Linked DNA regions of Rhinolophus ferrumequinum. The protein of the gene in region 1 interacts with the protein of each later gene in a pairwise test. Links are inferred from orthologs where the notes say so. Each region holds a gene or a part of one and is shown on either strand. Other genes may lie near its edges.

Region 1 (9,780 bases):
GGGAGGGGGCATTGGGGGGGACAAGGGCCCTGCCTGGTCATAGCCCAGCCCCATGCTCCATGTGTCCCCAGGGGCAAGGCAGCTGTGCTGTGCCTCTCCTACCGGCCTGACATCCTGGTGACTGGCACCTATGACAAGAAGGTGACAGTCTACGATCCCAGAGGTGGGCTGGGGGCCCGAACTGGGGAGAGCAAGGCTGCCTGGGGGCTCCAGGGTCATGCGGGGGAGGGAGACACTCAGGCCCACAACCTGGCTGGGGTGAGAGTCACAGAAGCAGATGCTAACCACTCAAGAGTGACTTATGCTGTGCTGAAGGCAACACAGGCGATGTCTGAGGTGGGGAGGGGGTAGAAGAAGCCCCACCTTCACCTGGGGTGGGGTGAGGGACAGAGGATGCCCAGAGGAGGGGCCTCCGAACTGGAATCCCCCGGGAGGCAGACAGCCCCTGACAATCCTGGCTCCCCAACTCCCTAGCTGTAAGACACCAGTCAAGCTTGAACCTTGGTTTCACCATCTGTAAAATCTGGGTAACAACTCCAGCCCCATATGGTTAATGGGAGGAGATGGCAATTAGTACTTTGGTGGATTAAACATTAGTTTACATAAAACGCCTAGAACAAACACTGCTTGGAACATAAGCTTTTTCTGTTGTTTATTCATTCTAATTTTAATTGAAGGGCCAGCGTGCCTTATCTGGGCAGAGCTGAGTGGTGGTGGGGATAGAGGCACGCGTCTCCTGGCATTGGTTGGCATTTTATGCTGGGACTTGGCTGTCCACTCTGTACTGAGAGCAGATGGGACAAGAGGAGGGAGATGGGACACAAGATGGGGGTTGGGGCGGAGAGGCCTGGGGATGCTGGGAGGCCCAGATCCAGCTGGGGCAGAAAAAGAGAGACAGGGTCACCTGAGGGATGGGGGGTGGGGAGGGAAGCCAACCGAGGGTTTTGCCACGGAGGACAGGGATCCTCGGGTGGGTCTGAGAGGCCTCTGAGGAGCTCTGATGTCCCCCTCCTCTCGGGGCCCATCACCCATGAAGCTGGCCCAGCCCTGCTGAAGAGCCGGCGGCTGCACTCGAGCGCGGTGCTGGCGTTGCTGGCGGATGACCGGCACATCATTTCGGGCAGTGAGGACCACACACTCGTGGTGTTTGACCGCAGGGCCAACAGTGTACTGCAGCGGCTGCAGGTGGGCCCTCCCCAGGGGCTGGAGGGACCGGGGCTGCATGTGGCCCAGCCTGAGCTGCTCTGTCCTTTGTCCCTCCCACAGCTGGACTCCTACTTACTCTGCATGTCCTACCAAGAGCCCCAGCTCTGGGCCGGCGACAACCAGGGCCTGCTGCACGTCTTCGCCAACCGGAAAGGCTGTTTCCAGCTTGTCCGGGTTGGCCAGGGCCCTTGTCTCTGCCCCACTCTCCCTGGGCTTCCTCCCTACCCCTTAACCCTTGGTGGCAGTGGGGTGCTGGCCTTGGAGAGACCCATCTGAGTGTCACCTGTTCCTCCTGCAGACCTTTGATGTGGGCCACAGGTCTCAGATTACAGGGATCAAACACTCGCTGGGGGCCTTGTACACCACGTCCACTGACAAGACCATTCGGGTGAGGACCTTGGACAGGCCCCGTCCCCCCCTGGCCAGGAACACATCTCTTGACTTTGCCTGTTGCCCCCTAACCAGGTGCACGTGCCCACAGACCCACCAAGGACCATCTGCACCCGAAGCCACCACAACGTGCTAAATGGGGTAAGGCTCTGCCCTCTATGCCCTGCTGGCTGCCCAGAGCGCCCCTGAATCCTCATGTCCCTGTCCAGATCTGTGCTGAGGGCAACCTGGTGGTAGCTGCCTCCGGGGGCCTGTCGCTGGAGGTCTGGAGGCTGCAGGCCTGAGCAGGCAGACGTGGACGTGGATGTGTGGATGTGGATCTGCTGACCGGCCGGTTCTTGGGGGACCCTCCCCCTCGCTGGTGCTGCCCCTAATCTGGCCCACAGGCCTGGGGCACAAGGAGCCCCCGTTACATTTGGGTGGGGTCCCTGGGCTGGGCCCCAAGCCAGGGGAGGTGAGGTTGGTGTTTTGGCCCACCCAGAGGGCTGCTCCCCACCCTTGGGCTCCGTTTTTGTTGATTTGGGTACCTGCTCTCCCTTGAAAGTGCAGGAGAAATAAACCTGATATACTGGTGCTGTGCCCTGAGTGGTACCTGCAAGCCTCGGTGACAGCCTCTGCTGTTTGTGTCTGGGTGTGCCTGTACCCGCTCAAGTGCATTCCGGGATCCTATGTGTCTGTGTGTCCCTGGGGAGGCAGGCTGGCTGTGTGTGTTGTTACTCTAACCCCAAATCCCATCTGCGCCTGTCTGTGTGCCTGTGAGTGTATGTGTATGAGAGGAAGACAGATTCTGGAGGACGTCGGCAGCAGTCTGTATGATGGCACCTTTGTGTGTGTGAGACAAGTGGACAGGAGTGACGAGTATGTGTGTATGTGTTGGCATGAAGCTAGGGACGCTGCCTCCGGATGTGTTTCTGCAGAGGGTGATGGGATCTGCTAAGGCTAGCCCATAGGTGTGGGGCAAACGGGTGGAGGTACGTGCTCTTTTAGCCAGTCCAGGGTGGGTGTGACCCTGCAGGGGGCGGGGGAGGCTGGGCCAGGTGCCCCTGCCAGCCCACAGCCCCACTTCGCCCCCCACTGCAGCCCACCAAACCCTGAGGAGTGTTCACTTCATGTTTATTGAGGGGTCCTCAGGGCCAGCGTCATAGGATGGCACAGGGCTTCTTCTCCTTGAAGGGGTTGGTGGCAGCCGGGATGCCTACCAAGAAGGGGTCGCTCTTGGCCTGCTCCATGCAGAACTGCAGCAGGTCGGCAGCCGCGTGGGACACCTGTAGGCCAGCCTGGTCAGCCAGACCCCGCGGACCCTCTGCCCCCTCGCCCAGAGGTGCCCGCCTCGCCCCACCCTCACCTTCACACGGTTCATGCCGGCCTCCATCCGCAGCTGCTCCACGGCCCGGCGGGCCTGCCCGATGTCACTGCCAGTGGCCACCTTGCCAGACATCTGGGGGTAAGGTGAGCAGGACCATAAACATCAGGGTGAACACCAGACCTGGAGTCCTAGGGCCACCCGAGGGTCCCTGCACCTCCTTTGATGTCCCCTAGGAACTGCAGGATGTGGTGGCTGCTCCCCGCCCAGCAGGACCACACACCTCAGCTGAGGACTACGGCTGACTCCTGGCTGTTCAGTCCTCCTCCTGCAGCCTGGCTCTGCCTCCTTCCCAACCCCCCTGCCTCTCCAGCCCCTTTGCCCTCCCCTACCCCTGCAGAGACTTTGAAGCTGGGACACTCATGGAGTAAAATGTCACCAGTGACAGTAGCAGCAGCTGCCTCAGCCAAAGGGTTCCCTGCCCCAGGAGACCTGGTGGCTGCCCCATGGTCATGTGTCACCTTGGCAGGGGGATTGCAGGTCCCTGGTCTCTCACTGACCTGACTGATCTCCTGCTAACTGGCCCCGACACCCTCCTTTGTCAGCCTCTGTCCCCCACCCCCCCACCAACATGGGACACCAACAAGCAGAGTGTCCCCGGCTCCGGTGCAGCCCTGCCTCTGCTCTGTCTGCACTCACTGCCCAGGGGTCTATTCCACAGATGACTCAGTCCACCCACTTATGATGAAGTCTTCCTCTGCCCCATCGCAGACCTCAGACCCACGTGAGGACCCTCCGCTCTCCTCAGTCCATCCCACCTGTCTCTCTCTGGTGTCTCTCACCTGACTTGGCCAGGCTGGACTCTGGATTATCTTCCCCCCAGATCTTCTGCCCCCAGATGTACCACCATCCACCCAGTTGCCCTGGCCCAAATCTTGAACTCCTTCATTCCTTTCTTTCTGGTATTCCCACATCTAATTCCTTCTCAAGAGCCAGACGATCAATCTTCAAATTAGGTTCTCAATCTCATCACTTCCTTCCACCACCACGTGGGTCCCACCACCATCTTTGCTCACTTGGACAAGTGCAGCCGCCCCCCACCCCCCACCCCGCCTGGTCTCTCCTGCCCTCCCCACCACTGCCACCATTCTCAAGGCAGCCAATGGGATCTGTTAAAAAGTAAATCAGAATATAACATGGATGAACTTTGAGGATATTATGCTGAGTGAAATAAGCCAGCTACAAAAGGACAAATACTGTGTGATTCCACTTATATGAGGTCCCTAGAGTAGAGACAGGAAGTAGAATGGTGGGTGTCAGGGGCTGATGGTGGGGGATGGGAAGTTAGTGTTTAATGGGGACAGAGTTTCAGTCTGGGATGATGAACAAGTTCTGGAGATGGACGGTGGGACGGTTGTACAATAGTGTGAATGTGCTTCATGCCACTGACCTATATACACTTAAAAATGGTTAAGATGGTGAATCTGATGTGTAGTCTCTCAGTTCCTTTTTCAAACTCTCCAGGGATTTCTCAGTCTCCTTACTACAACCCACATGATCCTGCCTGGTCTGGCACCTTCTGCCCTCCTTCATCTATCAACTGCTCCCTCCTTCATTCCTCATGGATGACACTGATGCCCTTGGGTGTGTTCATTCATTCATTTAGCATCTTTGCTGAGATCCCAATGTGTCCAGCACTGTGCGGAGTAAGAGGGCTGGCAGTGAAACCAGGCACAATCCCGTCCTCACGGAGCTGCCATTCTACTCAAACAAAACGTATTAAGTGCTGTGAAAGACAACAAAAGCAAGGTAAGGGCAAAAGTGGGTGTTCAGGGCAGGCCTCATGCAGGTAACAGTCTGAACTGAGGCCCAGAAGAGAAGGAGCTGGGGGAGGGATGTCCTAGGCAGAGAGCAGCAGGTGCATTGTCCCTTGGTCAGGAAAGAGCGTGGTGGGTTCTAGAACAGTGAGGGGGTTGGTGTAGCTAGAGAGGAGTGTGTGAGGGCAAGTGGTGGGAGATGAGGGCAGGGAAGTGAGCATGCGCCTTCAGAGGCCATGGTGAACAGCCTGGATTCTACTCCCAGGGAGAAGCCACCATTGTTAGAAGGTTTTAGAAAGGAACAACACATCTGATTTCTGTTTAACACACTCTCTGGCCAGAGATTGGACGTGGACTGGAGGGAGTGCAGTGTGGAGGCCCTGGGATGATAAGCACCTGCATGCAAACGACTTATGTTGTGTACCTGACATTAATATATGTCATGTATCAATTTTTAAAAAAGCAACAAAAAAGCACTTGGATTTGGGATGCATTTTGTAGGTAGAATTTAGCACATGTGCTGGGGGATGGATGTGGGGTGTGGGAGGAGACATCAAACTCAACTCCCCAGTTTTCAGCCTGGTAGATGAGGGTTGTTTGCCGAGATGGGGAAGACGGCATGCAGCAAGATCAGGGTTAGGTGGAGAGAAAGCAGAGGTAGTGAGTTTGAGATCCAAGCCAGGAATGTCAAGGCTGTCAAGGAGGATGTTGTTTCTCCAATTAAGGAGGCTAATTTCCAGCCTCAGGGCCTTTGCACAGGCTGTTCTTTCTCCCAATGAGGGACGGTGGGAGAATGGCCTCCCCCATAAGCTCACATATGGGGCCTTTCTTGGCCTTCTGTCTTTGGCTCAAATGTCACCTCCTTGGTGTCCTTCCTCAACCACCTGTCCCTCCAACTAAGGCCACCAACCTCTCCAACCACCGCCACCCCAAAGATTCTTGCATTATCCTGTTGAAATCCTGACTAGCACTTAGCACTGTTAACTTTCTGTCTCCTGAAACTGTGGGCTCCAGGAAAGCAGGGTTTGCATCTTGTTCACCGCTAAATCTGCACCCAGCACAGAGCCCAACATATAGCACAATATAGACTACATTATTATAGATAAATGTACAGTGATTAAGGTGTCCCCTCTGGACCAGACCCTGTGCATGGTTAGGAGGACCCATGAGATATAGTCCCCGCCCTGGAGGGTCTCACAGTCTTGCTGCAGGGAACGAGATGTCAGCCCTAGATCCCAGAGGAGGTCACTTACCAAGAGGAAGGTCAGGGAAGGCTTCCCAGAGGAGGTGACAACTGTGGCTGCTGGGATTAGACCAGAGGGTTATGCAGCATGTGGAGGCTCTGGAGATTTGCAAGGCACGAAAAGGGATCAATATCTTATTTGATGAGAGATGCTCAATGGCAGAAACTGTCTTGACAGTTCCTGATGACTCGAATTCTAAGAAGACATTCTTTCCTCTCAGGGAACAGAAATGAATGGACTCCCCGCAACGCGGGGAGTCTCCAGCAGGCGGCAGTAAATGTAAGACTCTTCATGTGAGTAGAGAACACACGAAACAGGAAACAACGGCTCCGTACGGCTTCCGTATTACAAAAACAGGCCGCGTCCTGGACTACGGGTGTCGAGAGAGGGTCATGTAGCGCAGCAACTTCCGGACGTGTCTCCAGTTTTTCCTGCGCTCTCGTAGAGAAGCGTGTGCCAGTGCTTAGCGCGTTTGGAAGCCATTGGAGGCCTGGCCTGCGGCTGCACTGATCTGAGAGCGCGGCCGCAGGTGCATGGAGAGTTCCCCGGAGGAGGAGGCGCCCGCGGCGGCGCGGGCTGCTGTGCTGAAGCCCAGCTCGGCGCTGCCCTTCGAGAGCGCCCAGGTCCGGGGCTACGACTTTAACCGTGGCGTGGACTACCGCGCGCTGCTGGAGGCCTTCGGCACCACTGGTTTCCAGGCCACCAACTTCGGGCGCGCGGTGCAGCAAGTCAACGCCATGGTGAGGCCGGGGGCGGGACTTCCTGGGTCGAGGGGGGTTTGGCTTCTCCGAGCACCAACGCAGTACAGTAGATGGAAGGGCGGGGCTCCCCTGGGGAAGGAGGCGTGTCCTTCGTTGGGGTGGCCCAACAGTTGGAGAGAGGCGGGGCCTAGCCGGGGCGGCGGTTTGTGTGTTGGGAAGGGGACGTTGCCACCCAGCAGCGACATCCTAGTATCCTGAGGTGATGGACACTGATTTTGGGTTGGGGCTGGCTACGTGTGAGTGCCCTGGAATGGGCGGAGCCTGAGGCAAGACGGTGAGATTGAGGGACGAATTGGAAAAGGAGCCTAAGTCAGGGCGGGGCCTTGGATTTGCTCTTCCTAGCGGGGAAGGGGGCTGGGTCCTGCTAAGATGCTTTCCGACTCCGGATGGGGGCAAAGCGTGATCGTGTGCCCTGAGAGCCGGGCTGTGACAGGGATGGAAGCTGCAGAGGGGTCTCGTGTTTCCTGGTTCCAGGTAGAAAAGGTCCCGTTTCCCTGAGTGGGCAGGGACTGGGGGTAGAGTCTGATTCTGAAAACCACTCGGGTCCTTGGGCTGGAGTTTGGGTCCTGAGGTTAACTCGACCCCACCCTTACATGTAGATAGAGAAGAAGTTGGAGCCTCTGCCGCAGGATGAAGACCAGCACGCAGACCTGACTCAGAGCCGCCGCCCACTCACTGGCTGTACCATTTTCCTGGGCTACACATCCAACCTCATCAGTTCAGGGATCCGTGAGACCATCCGTTACCTCGTAGAGCACAACATGGTGGGGAACCACTGGCGCTGTTGTCTTGGCCTCTCTGGGTCTAAATGGACAACACGATTTTTGGTCATTTTAGTGACATTGGGAGATATGAGTCAATTTTAAGCTGTGGGACAGGATTGAGTTTTGTTTTGCAGCAGAGCTTCCTGCAAGGTGACTAGATGAAAGTTGGGAGTTAGCAGTCCTGCCTACAGTGAGGGCAGGGACCCCATTTCTGGGCCAACGTAACTGTTTTGTGGCTGCAGGTGGATGTTTTGGTGACTACAGCTGGGGGTGTGGAGGAAGATCTCATCAAGTGCCTGGCACCCACATACCTGGGCGAGTTTAGCCTCAGGGGAAAGGAGCTACGTGAGAACGGGATCAACAGGTGGGAAACCCTGAGCGGTGCTGGGCAGGGGAGCTAAGCTGAGGGACCTGGGGCCTGATGCCCATCTGCCTCCTGTCCCCAGGATCGGGAACCTGCTGGTGCCCAATGACAATTATTGCAAGTTTGAGGACTGGCTGATGCCCATTCTGGACCAGATGGTGCTGGAGCAGAACACAGAGGTGGGGCTGGAGCAACCTGGGGGGCCAGCATGGTGAGAGTCAGGGGAAGCACCGCTGGCTGAAGCTGGTATCTCCTCCTAGGGTGTGAAGTGGACACCGTCCAAGATGATCGCCCGGCTAGGCAAGGAGATCAACAACCCAGATTCGGTGTATTACTGGGCCCAGAAGGTGAGGGGCTGGGTGGGGGCAAAGATGCCAGGCCTTGGCCTCTGTTAACTTGTTTTATCTTCACAGCCACCTGAGGAGTCAATGCTGTTCTCATCATCTGCACTCTTAGACCAGGAAGTTCAGACCCAGAGAGGTTAGGCAGTTTGAGGTCACACAGCTGTTGAGTATAGTCCTGATATCCTGGGAATAGTTGGGGCAGTGCTTAGCAACCCTCCTGGTGTAGGGTCCCCTGCTCCTCAGAGGCTATGAGGCCCAGCAATCAGAAAAGTAACAAGAGCTCCCATTCTGTGTGTCAGGCTTGCTCTTACATATTTTATGTGTTTTCTCACACACACCTCTACGTTGGAGGTACTGTTACCGTCATTTTAGATTCAAGGAAACTGAGGCCCAGAGCAGTTCAGCACCTCACCCAGAACAGGCAGAGGGAGGGAACGCTGCACCGGGTGCTGACTCCCACCACTGTCCTGCCCTCCCCCAGAACCACATCCCCGTGTTGAGCCCAGCGCTCACAGATGGCTCGCTGGGCGACATGATCTTCTTCCATTCCTACAAGAACCCAGGCCTGGTCCTGGACATTGTGGAGGGTGAGGCGCTGGGGCCGGAGGAGCAGGGGAGGAGGGCTGGCTGGGCCCAGGGCCTGACCACAGCGCTCTTCCCTAGACCTGAGGCTCATCAACACCCAGGCCATCTTTGCCAAGCACTCTGGCATGATCATCCTGGGCGGGGGAGTGGTCAAGCACCACATCGCCAATGCCAACCTCATGGTAAGCAGGGACGAGCACCTGGACCCTAGTGTGGGGGTGGCACTTGGGCCTGCTGTGCAGAGATGGCTGTGTGCTAGGCTTATGCCACGTGCTGGGGACACAGCTATGGGCTAGACAGGACAGGATCCCTGCCTTCCTTGGACTGACATCAAATCAGTTGATGGTTATTGCCATAGAGAAAATTGAGGGATGACAAGATGGCAAGAAAAAGAGGGTACTGTTCAATAAAGGGAAACTTTCTGGGAAATGTGACCCGGGAGCAGGTTTTTGGTAGGTGCCTCCTATGAGCTACGTGGTTGCCTTGGAAGAGTTCCCAGCGGAGAGAACAGCCAGTGCAAAAGCTTTGAGATGCCTGAAGTAAATCAAGGAACAGCTAGAAAGACTGTGAAGGGGAGAGTGGGAGGTGAAGTGGGGAGGTGACAGGCAGGACTTGCAGGGCCTTGAGGGCAGCCACTCAGGTGCTCACAGATGACCTGTGGCTACTGTGGGGGGAACAAATAGGGCCAGGACCAGGGTGGAGACCAAGGGGGTTCAGAGGTCTTCTGAAGGTAGAGCTGGGAGTAGCTCCCTCTGAGCAGATGTGGGAAGACTGTTGCTACCTAGGAGGTGGGTCTGGGGCAACACTGCCCATCTGCCCAGCAACCTTGTAACCCCTCACTCTGCCTAGGCATTCATGTTGGGGCTCCTCCCTTCATCCAGGACAAATGGCTCAGTCTCTCTAGCTGCAGTGCCCTCTTTGTGTGTGTGTGTCTGTGTGTGTGTCCATCCTGGCTGACCGCCTGCTCTGCCCCTCCCCACAGCGGAATGGAGCCGACTATGC
Region 2 (10,105 bases), on another chromosome or scaffold:
AGTACCTTTTCATACCTGTTGGCCATCTGTATGTTTTCTTTGGAAAAATGTCTATTCAGTTTCATTGCCTCTATTTAAATCAGATTTATTTTTGTTATTTTTTTTTGTGAGTTCTTTATATATTTGGGATATTAACCTGTTATTAGATGTAGAGCTTGCAAATATTTTCTCCCATTCCATAGGTTGCCTTTACATTTTGTTGATAGTTTCCTTTGTTGTAAAGAAGCTTTTTTAGGGTGATATAATCCCACCTGTTTATCTTTGCTTTTGTTGCCTTTGCTTTTAGTGAAAAAATCCAAAGACTCATTACCAAAACCAATGTCAAGGAGCTGCCCTATATTTTCTTCTAGGAGTTTTATAGTTTGGGGTCTTATGTTCAAGTCTTTAATGCATTTTGAGTTGAATTTGTGTATGGTGTGAGATAAGGGTTCAGTTTCATTATTTTACATGTGGCTATCCAGTTTTCCCAATACCATTTATCCTTTCCCCATTATATATTCTAGGCCCCTTTGTTGTAAAGTAATTGGCTATATAGGCCTTAGTTTATTTCTGTGTTCCTTTTCTAGTCCATTGATTTATACGTCTGTTTTTATGTCAATATCACACTGTTTTGATGACTATAGCTTTGTAACATAGTTTGAAATCAGAAAGTGTGATGCCTCTAGCTTTGTTCCTCTTTCTCAAGGTTACTTGGCTATTCAGTTGTTTGTAATTCCATACAAATTTTAGGATTTTTCTATTTATGTAAAACATGCCAATGGAATTGATAGGAATTGCATTGAATCTATAGATTGCTTTGGATAATATGGACATTTTACTAATATTAATTCTTCCCCATGAACATGAAATGTCTTTCCATTTATTTGTGTTTTCTTCAATTTCTTTCATCAAAGTCTTATAGTTTTGGTGTATAGGTCTTTCACCTTGATTACATTTATTCCTACGTATTTTATTCTTTTTGATGCAATTGTAAATAAGACTGTTTTCTTAGTTTTTCTTTCTGATTCATCATTGTTAATGTATAGAAACAAAACTGTTTTTGTATATTGATATATCTTGCAACTTCACTAAATTCATTGATGAAGTCTAACAGATTTTTTGGTGGAGTCTTTAGGGTTTCTATATGTAATGTAATGCCATCTGCAAATAGAGACGATTTTACTTCTTCTTTTCCAATTTGGGTGCTGTTATTTCTTTTTCTTGCCTAATTTCTCTGGTTAGTACCTCCAAGACTATATTGAATAAAAGCAGTCAGAGTAGGCATCCTTATCTTATTACTGATCTTAAAGGAAAAACTTGCAGCTTTCCACTATTGAGTATGAAGTTAACTGTGGGCTTGTCATATAGGGCCTTTATTATATTGAGGCCCTCTATACACAGTTTGTTGAGAGGGTTTTTTTTTTTTTATCATGGATGTATGTTGAACTTTGTCAAATGCTTTTTCTGCATCTATTGAGATGATCATATAATTTTTATCATTCATTGTTAAAGTGGTGTATCACAGTAATTGATTTGCAGATATTGAACCATCCTTGCATTTCCTGGAATAAATTCCACTCCATGACAGTATACGATCCTTTTCATGTACTATTGAATTGGTTTGCTAATATTTTGTTGAAAATTTTTGCATCTATGTTCATCAGAGATACTGACCTGTAATTTTCTTTTTTTTTTGTAGTGTCCTTGTTTGATATATAGCATCAGGGTAATGCTATCCTCATAATATAAGTTTAGAAATGATCTTTCCTCTTCAATTTTGGGGGAAAGTTTGAGAAGAACTGGTATTAATTATTTAAATGTTTGGTACAATTCACTAGTGAAGCCAAATTTTCTTTGTTGGGAGGTTTTGAGTACTGATTCAGTCAGCTTAGTAGTAATAGGTCTGTTTAGATTTTTCTATTCATGATTCAGTCTTGGTAAGTTGTATATTTCTATCAATTTATCCATTTCTTCAGGTTGTCCAGTTGGTTGGCATATAATTGTTCATGGAGTCTCTTCTGATCCTTTGCATTTTTGTGGTATCATTTAGGTCTATCAATATTTGCTTTATATATTTAGGTGCTCCTATATTAGGTACATAAATATTTATAATGTTATATCCATTTGTTGGATTGACCCCTATATCATTATATGACTTTCTTTGTCTTTTATTACAGTCTTTGTATAAAAGTATATTTTGGCTGATAATGTATAGCTATCCTAGCTTTCTTTTGGTTTCCATTTGCATGGATTGTCTTTTTTCATCCTGTTACTTTCAGTCTGTGTGTGTCCTTAAAGCTGAAGAGAGTCTCTTGCTTTTGCTTTAACCATCGTCTATATACTGGTGATTCACAAATATCTTTCTCTATTTAAGATATCTCTCTCCCACAAGAATCTTAAACTCGATTTGGCCAAAAGTGAACTCAACTTGCCATGGAAACTTGCTTTTTCTCTTATATTTTCTATCTCAATGAATGGTACCACCATTCCCCCAGTCGTTAATTTGATGCTTTCCTATTCTTCTCACCCAGTGTCTCCCTTCTCATTTCGACTTCCAACATTACTTAGGACATTCTTTCCACCTTCCCTTGTAATTCTCTTGAATCTGTCTTCTCTATGTTCTCACAGTCACCACCTTTGTTCACCAACATTAACTATTTCTTCCTAATTGGTTTCCTATTTCCAATATTCTCTCCCCCTAAAAAATTCTCCATATCATGATCAGAATGGTCTTTCTAAATTAAAAAAATACATCCTTGTCATTTTCTTCTATATACGGTTTATATATCTTTCTATTGCCCTTGAGAGAAAATCCAGATTCACCCATCTCTTTTTACTACTTTATCAGTCACATTAAACCAGTGGAGGTCCAGAATGATGTCACAATTCTGTCACTTATAGGTTTTTTGTACCCCTAATCCCTCTACCTAAAATGCCTTTTCCAAACCTCTGTTCATTGCTTACTACTCCTTATTTTTCAGATGTCAAATTAAGATATCACTCCCAGAGAGGCAGTCTCAAGATCTTCTAGACCTGTGATGCCCTATATGATAGCCACCAGTCACACAGTCACTGAACCCTTAAAATGTGGCTAGTCTGAATTGAGATGTACTCTACACCAGGCTTTGAAGACTTAGTATAAAATAATCTTATTAATAATTTTTATACTGGTACATGCGAAATATTATTTTAGATGTACTCAGTTAAATTTCAAACTATATTATTGAAATTAATTTCATCTCTTTTTACATTTTAATGTGGCTACAAGAAAACTCAATTTATATGTGGCTTGCATCATACTTCAATTGAACAAAACCTAGACTAGATGAGAAGGAGCCCCCTTTTTCAACATCCTACAGTTACTTCTTTAGTAGCATGTATTATAGCTGCTAAAATGCTAGCTTGTATCCTGCACTAGACTTCAAGTACATAAAAAACAAGAGGATGTCGTGGTCAACATGATAATTTCAGCACTAAGGGTGCTACAATAAAAACAGTCAATTCTCCTTATTTGTGGATCCCATATTTATGAATTTCCCTACTTGATAAATTTACGTATAACCCCAAAATCAATACATGAGATGCTTTCACAATCATTTGTGGACATGCACAGAACAGTGGAAGATTTGAGTCATTCAACACATATTTTCCTGACTAAGGTCAAACAAGGCCATGCTCTGCCTTCTATTTTCAACTGTCAAATGGTAAACGAGTTTTTTTTTCAGTCTACCTGTGCCACTTTTTCACATTTTTTTGACTTTTGTTGGTGACTTGACTGTTTAAAATGACCCTGAGCATAGTGCTGAAGTGCTGTCTAGTGTTTTTAAGAATGAGAAGGCTGTGATGTGCCTTACAGAGAAAATACATGTGTTAGATAAGCCTCCTTTGGACATGAATTGTAGAGCTGTTGGCTGTGAGTTAAATGTTAATGAATCAATATAGATTAAATAAACACATATAATACAAGATAATATATTGGTCAGTTGATGAAAATGTTGTGACCAGAAGCTTACAGGAACCTAACTTTGCATTTCTCCTAGAAGTAACGATTTTGTGTTCCGGTGACTTCACTAGCCTCAGCTGTATTTATTTAATGAATGAAGCTGGATCATTTTGATTCCAAATCCAAATCTTATGTGAATTCACTATGATGCATATGATGGTAGTTAAAGCAGTGATTATGGAGCCAAACTGGCTAGAGTTCAATGTTGGCCTTCTGACTTGCTAGCTGTGTGATTTGGAGCAAATTACTTAACTTTTCTCTGCCCTTTTCCATAACTGAAAATGTAAATAAAATAGTTGTTAATGATTGCCATGGGCTGCACGTGAGGGAGGGGACTGACCAGAAGAGGGCAGGAGAAAACTTTTAGAATGAGGAAATATTCTATATCTTGATTATAGTGGTATTTACACAAATGTTTATGTTCTTCAATATTCATATAACTAAAACCGGTAACTTTTACTTTGCATAAATAACTTAATAAACTTGAGGTTGAAAGAGAGTAACAGCCAAGAGTAAATAATGCACGTAAAACAATTAACTACCCGCTTACATAAATACTCTTTAAATATTAGCAAACACTCTTAATAACAACAGACAGGAAAGGTTAGGTAATGTAAGGAAAAGCAGAGTGGGCTCACGAACTGGATTCTAATCCGGCTATTTCTATTAGCTAGAGGCTGAGTTGTTTATGGGAGTTCCCCTGTTTATTGCAAAGGTTAAGTTACACAGCATGTGTGAAATATCTGTGTAACTGTAGAGCCACATAGGAATGTGAAAAATAGGACTGTTCATGAGACAGCAATACGAAATCACAGGGCCACATAAACTGGGGTGTGGAAGTCACCTCTCCAAGGTAGGAAAATGTGGTGGGTTGTGAAATGAAACCATGAAAAAGGGCTCACATCTTTTTTTAAAAAACTTTGGTCCTTAATCCTATACAAGTCTCTACTGGCTACAGATAACCCAACCATTCTAAGGAGGATGGACATATCTGTAACTCGATAGAATGCCAACGCCAGGAGGAAAGAGCTGAGTTTGGCAGAACACCTTCCTGAATTGGACAATGTGGTACCAGTTAGACATCCACTTGCCTCCACAACTCCCTAACAGCTTCCGGAGGGAGAAGTGAGTTAGGTCATTTCACCACTGCTTTTTAGTTCAGTTCAAGAATGTCTCACGAGTTCCCACCCATGGGAGTGGGCAGGGCACCCAGGGGCAGTCGCTGCCATGAGTCATAATGGGTGGCTGGGGTTCTCTGCAGAGCATGCAGTGTGCATCTGGAAAATAAAATACCGCACTTGGACTCTTCCTGGAGGAACAAGCTGGGTTTGACTACCAAAGAGGGCTGCAAGATGGACCAGAAGTTGGAACCCAAAGTTTCCTCCACAGCCACACTGGCATCCATTGAGATCTCTTGCCTCTCGAGTTTTGACAACCTACAAGTAACAACTGGCACGCACCTGAGGGCAGGGGCCACCATGCGCGCGGCCCAATTCCCATAAACTTCCACTGAAACTTGAACACAACGAACCTAAAAGTTTGCAGCAGGAAGTTTCTTTGCAAGCGAGTTTACCCTCAGCAACCCGCCTCCAGAAAATGCACTTCACGCGCCGGAAGTGCACTAATCCGCAGCACGTGGGGTAGCCAGGACGCTCTTCACGTGACTAGGCGGGGCCTCAGGAAGCTTGTAGCCAATGGTAGCCTGGAAGGGTGGTGCCTGTGACGCGCCGGACCTATCCCGGAAATGGGACTGAGGTGGGGGCGGGAAAGGGCGGGGAGGCCGGGGTGTGGAAAGTGTGGCGGCCCCGCCCTGTCTCTTGGAACTACCGCGGCCGCCACCGCTGCCGCTGCCGCCGCCGCCGCTGTAGGGGACCGGCGCGGGTGCGCAGGCGAAAGCAGCTCTTTCTTTGCTGAAAGGTAAAGACATGGGGGAAAAGTGGTGGGGTTGGGACCGGAGCGAGGCAGGGCCGGGAAAGGCGACGGGAGTCCCAACGAGGGAAAGAGGAAGGCTGGATGGGAGAACGGAGGCGAGCGCGGCACTCGCCAGGGCTCAGGCCCGTGCGGGGCCGAGCCGGGCCGAGGATGCCTGCAGGACAAGGGGGCGCCTGAGAGGCCGGGGATAGCACGCCGCAGCCGGGGACCGGAGTGCGCGCCAGATGCGCGAGGGCCAGGTGCTGCTGGCCTGGTCATGTTATCCCCATCCTTCGCGCGGACGTGCGGCCTGGGCTGGGTCCCCCGCAGTGGGGATCAGGGCGGCGGCGGAGGGCCGGGCGGTGCGGCGCTGTGCGGAAAGGTCGCCGGCTCCGCCTGCGGTGGGACGATGGGGGCCGGGATTTGCTGCTCCCAGCCTGGTGAGCCCCCTGGGCGGGTATCCTCCACCCCCCAGCTCGCTCTCTGCGACTTCCTTCCCCACCTTCCCATCAATGGATGGAAAAGTTTGTAGAGGCCAAGAGTTAGAAAGCGCCCACTGTTCTTGGGTGGGTCTTCTATAGATGCAAAAATAATAGATCCACGATGCTTGGCACGTAACCTGTCCGAAATGAGATTTTTCGTTACCTGATTGCCCATTGTTAAAAAGCAAACAAACTTTTTGCGTAGTTCCCTCCGAAAAGCTACCATCTCCCCAGCCCACCATGGCGGATGAAATTGATTTCACTACTGGAGATGCTGGGGCTTCCAGCACTTACCCTATGCAGTGCTCGGCCCTGCGCAAAAACGGCTTCGTGGTGCTCAAAGGACGACCATGCAAAATAGTGGAGATGTCAACTTCCAAAACTGGAAAACACGGTCATGCCAAGGTAAGTGCCCTTCCAGGTCTGTCTTTACGTTGAGATTTTGATCATTTGTATTACATTACAGAACATGAGATTTCTGTACTTAGAACTTTGTAATAAGCACTTTTTTTTTCTTCCCACTATTACTGGGTGTTCAACTATCGTTTTGAATACTGAAAGGTAGCATTTCCTTCTTGAGCTCTTATAATGTTTCATTAATTGGGAACTGAAACTTTCCTGAATCCCAGTGAGTCAGAAGATCTGTTCAGTTTACAGATGAGAAACCCTGTTCTAACATAATTCCAAGGAACCTAAGTTCATTTTTCTTGTGCACTCTTATAATTGAATTACTGCACTATATAGGATTTGAGTCTTGATATGTCATGATACCATTTAGTTGTTCACTGCTTCTCAATTTTATGACCGCGACATTTTTTTAAGAAAGTAAAATTAGATGACCTTGAAAGGAGAAATAATCTGCTATAATCAGCGTTGGTATTGTGCTCCTGTGTATGTAATGAGTGATATACTTGGCAAAGATTAAACAGGTTTCCTGTTCTCCCTTCTTTGTTAGGTTCACCTTGTTGGAATTGATATTTTCACCGGCAAAAAATATGAAGATATTTGTCCTTCTACTCACAACATGGATGTTCCAAATATTAAGCGAAATGATTATCAAGTAAGTACTAATTTCCTTTAGAATGCTTGTTTCTTAAAGGTGTGAATACATTCTACTATCAATTGTAATTTAACAAAAGGCCGTAGTAGTTTTGTAGGCTTTTCTAACGAATTATCAGTAACCACTTAGAAATTGGAGGAATAGTTATATTTAACTCTTGTACCTTATTTAGGATTATTCTAGTTTGCTATTTTTTAAAACATTCTTGCATTTTAAAAAAGTTGAACACTTCTTATTGTTTCACAAACCAAGTAACTGTATGTTGTGACTGAACAAGTTTAGCGCTAATAAGATTACTACCGTCTTTGTTGTAAAATATTTCAATTTTAGATAACTCCTTCTCAGATGTTTTATGTCTTTTCATTTGTCAGACCTAAGATTTTCAAGAAATTAAGAAATTATTGGAATTCATGTTCCACCAACCAAGTTTGTGTACTAATGAATATGAGTCAGATTTTGGTATTCTTAAATAGGGAAATAAGTTAAAAGCCTTAAATATAAAGGATAAAATACATGGTCACTGAATATGGTGAAGAAAATACAAAAACTGTGTAATTGTTTTATTTATATTCAGTGACCATGCTGTGACCTTTTGTTAAATTATAGGTATAAACTTCAAGTTTTAGTTCCAATTATACATTTGGGTAGGTCATGTTTAATGATAGCATTTTGTTGTTTGGAGTATTGATAGTAACCAAACCATTGACCTCATAGGATGTGGGAGCTCAGATTAATCATAATTAAAGTCTTCTTTTGAAAGTCTTCAATTTCTATATCTAGCATACCATGTATGGTATTCCTTTCTGTTCTTTTTACATAGTGAAAAATGTGAGTGTGACAGATTTGTTTTATCCAGTTAAATTGATTTCCTTTTATACCTTTTATTGTACTGTATAATTTTTAAAGAATGTTACCGTCAACTGTAATTACCCAATGATTTCCTTTTACTCTTTGTCCACTTGTAAACATATTTTTACATGGTTTTAATCTAATAAGCAGTTTTATATTTTCACTTTCCCATTTATCATAAATATTTTCTAGGTTGCATCGGAGTCTTTGTAGAAATTTGAATTTTCTTAGTATAATAATAGTGTTTTTTTAGTCAAACAGGTCTGGGTTTGGATCCAGTTCTACTATTTTCTAGCTGAATGTTCTTAGATAAATTACACAACCTCTCTGAGCCTCACTCTTTCCATCTCCAAAAGAGAGATAATGTGAGGAGTAAATGAGAAAATGTACCCCACAATCACCTCCTGAGTAGATGTGTATCAAAAAGCAGTTATTTTCTGCGCCCCCTTTCCTGTATAAAAATTCCACTTAATCATTCCATTATTCTTGAAGTACCTAATTTAGACAAGCATAGAATTTCCTTTTGCCTCAAATGAATTTCTGTTTTCATCCTTAACATATGAATGCTTTGAATATTCAGTATTCATAATATTCATTAATATGCATTCAACATAGAATGCTTTTGCCTTTGGATGTTTCAGAAAGATGGTATCAGTAGTTCAGATAATTACTACTGTGATCAATTTAGCCAATTATTGATTAGCGCTCAAGAGTTAACGTACATGAAAAATTTGATTTGGGTTTTGTTTTGGGATGTAGCAGGGTCCAGACTAGGGTGAGGGGTATAGGTTAGTGAGCCCCCTAACCTAGAGTGCAAAATTTTAAATAAAAATAGGACCAGAAATAATGCCAAGCCATGTAGGAGCCTAAGGCAAAAGGAAAAATCAATAATTGTGATTCTGTCTTTGTTTAAAATTTTGATATTTTGTTCATTATGGAATTTTTATCCTAATTCTATTTTTTAAAAATATTTCATTAAAATATTTATCCGATCACTGATGGTTCTTTTTGGTGCCACCTTAAATTTTACACCCGAGACAAGTGCTTCACTTGCTTCACTCCAGTCCCAGCCTGTGGTGTATAGTTTGTACTGCAGAGTGGGTAAGAGAGTGACTCAAACCAGGCAGTCTGGGTCCACATTCTTGCTTCGACATTATCTGTGTGACCTCAGTTGGCAAGTTACTTAACCTCTTGCCCTCCTTTCCTTATTTATAAAATGGGGATAAGAATCATAAACAACTCATGGCATCATTGTGAGGTTTAATTAGTTACTACTTAGAACAGGGCCTTACATAGTAAATACTCAGTGATCACATCCCTTTATTATCAAGTCACCATAGAATACTTATATTTGCTCATTTAAAATAATTAGCTCTGTGAGCCTTTCCAGTTATATTTATTGTGCTACGGTGATCTTCACTCACCTAGCCAAGTGCCTTGATTAAATCCCTACTTTTCTTATTATTTGGCTACATGAAGTCCTTTGTATTTGCTTTTTTTCAGTATTTCAAGTGCCAGTTTGGCAGTCAGCTGAAATGAATATATAAATGTTCATATACATATATATATACACACACATATGTATATACACACACACATGTATATATATACACACACATATATATATGTGTGTGTGTAAATTAAAAAGTAAATCTTTGTTTAGGAATATTTACAATTTCAATTTTGTATATTTTAAAATAAGTTCAAAATAAGAGAAAAATTGTCTCCTGACTTCCAGATGATGTAGCTAGGATTAGAATTGCTGATTTCCATTACTCCTCCCAAAAGTAGTTACGGTTCTCTGGGCCTCAGTGATGGTAT

The links.
Region 2: the proteins of DHPS (region 1) and EIF5A2 interact in binary tests that used the Homo sapiens proteins (3 or more experiments, as listed by UniProt). The two-hybrid records come from large-scale screens. The link is inferred for Rhinolophus ferrumequinum from reciprocal best matches to the Homo sapiens genes DHPS and EIF5A2.

Annotation. Positions count from the first base shown.
Region 1 is NC_046301.1:48,846,161-48,855,940, forward strand, and holds the start of DHPS (deoxyhypusine synthase), read left to right. Parts: upstream 1-6,026; 5' UTR 6,027-6,493; coding exon 6,494-6,700; intron 6,701-6,839; exon of another isoform or gene 6,840-6,995; intron 6,996-7,320; coding exon 7,321-7,485; intron 7,486-7,727; coding exon 7,728-7,849; intron 7,850-7,931; coding exon 7,932-8,028; intron 8,029-8,109; coding exon 8,110-8,196; intron 8,197-8,674; coding exon 8,675-8,780; intron 8,781-8,856; coding exon 8,857-8,960; intron 8,961-9,760; coding exon 9,761-9,780. Other genes in the region: FBXW9 (F-box/WD repeat-containing protein 9), read left to right, coding at 72-163, 1,037-1,380, 1,505-1,594, 1,672-1,737, 1,806-1,880; GNG14 (putative guanine nucleotide-binding protein G(I)/G(S)/G(O) subunit gamma-14), read right to left, coding at 2,736-2,861, 2,942-3,034. UniProt on the Homo sapiens protein: Catalyzes the NAD-dependent oxidative cleavage of spermidine and the subsequent transfer of the butylamine moiety of spermidine to the epsilon-amino group of a critical lysine residue of the eIF-5A precursor protein to form the intermediate deoxyhypusine residue.
Region 2 is NC_046285.1:71,553,536-71,563,640, forward strand, and holds the start of EIF5A2 (eukaryotic translation initiation factor 5A-2), read left to right. Parts: upstream 1-5,753; 5' UTR 5,754-5,899; intron 5,900-6,580; 5' UTR 6,581-6,615; coding exon 6,616-6,780; intron 6,781-7,330; coding exon 7,331-7,435; intron 7,436-10,105. UniProt on the Homo sapiens protein: Translation factor that promotes translation elongation and termination, particularly upon ribosome stalling at specific amino acid sequence contexts.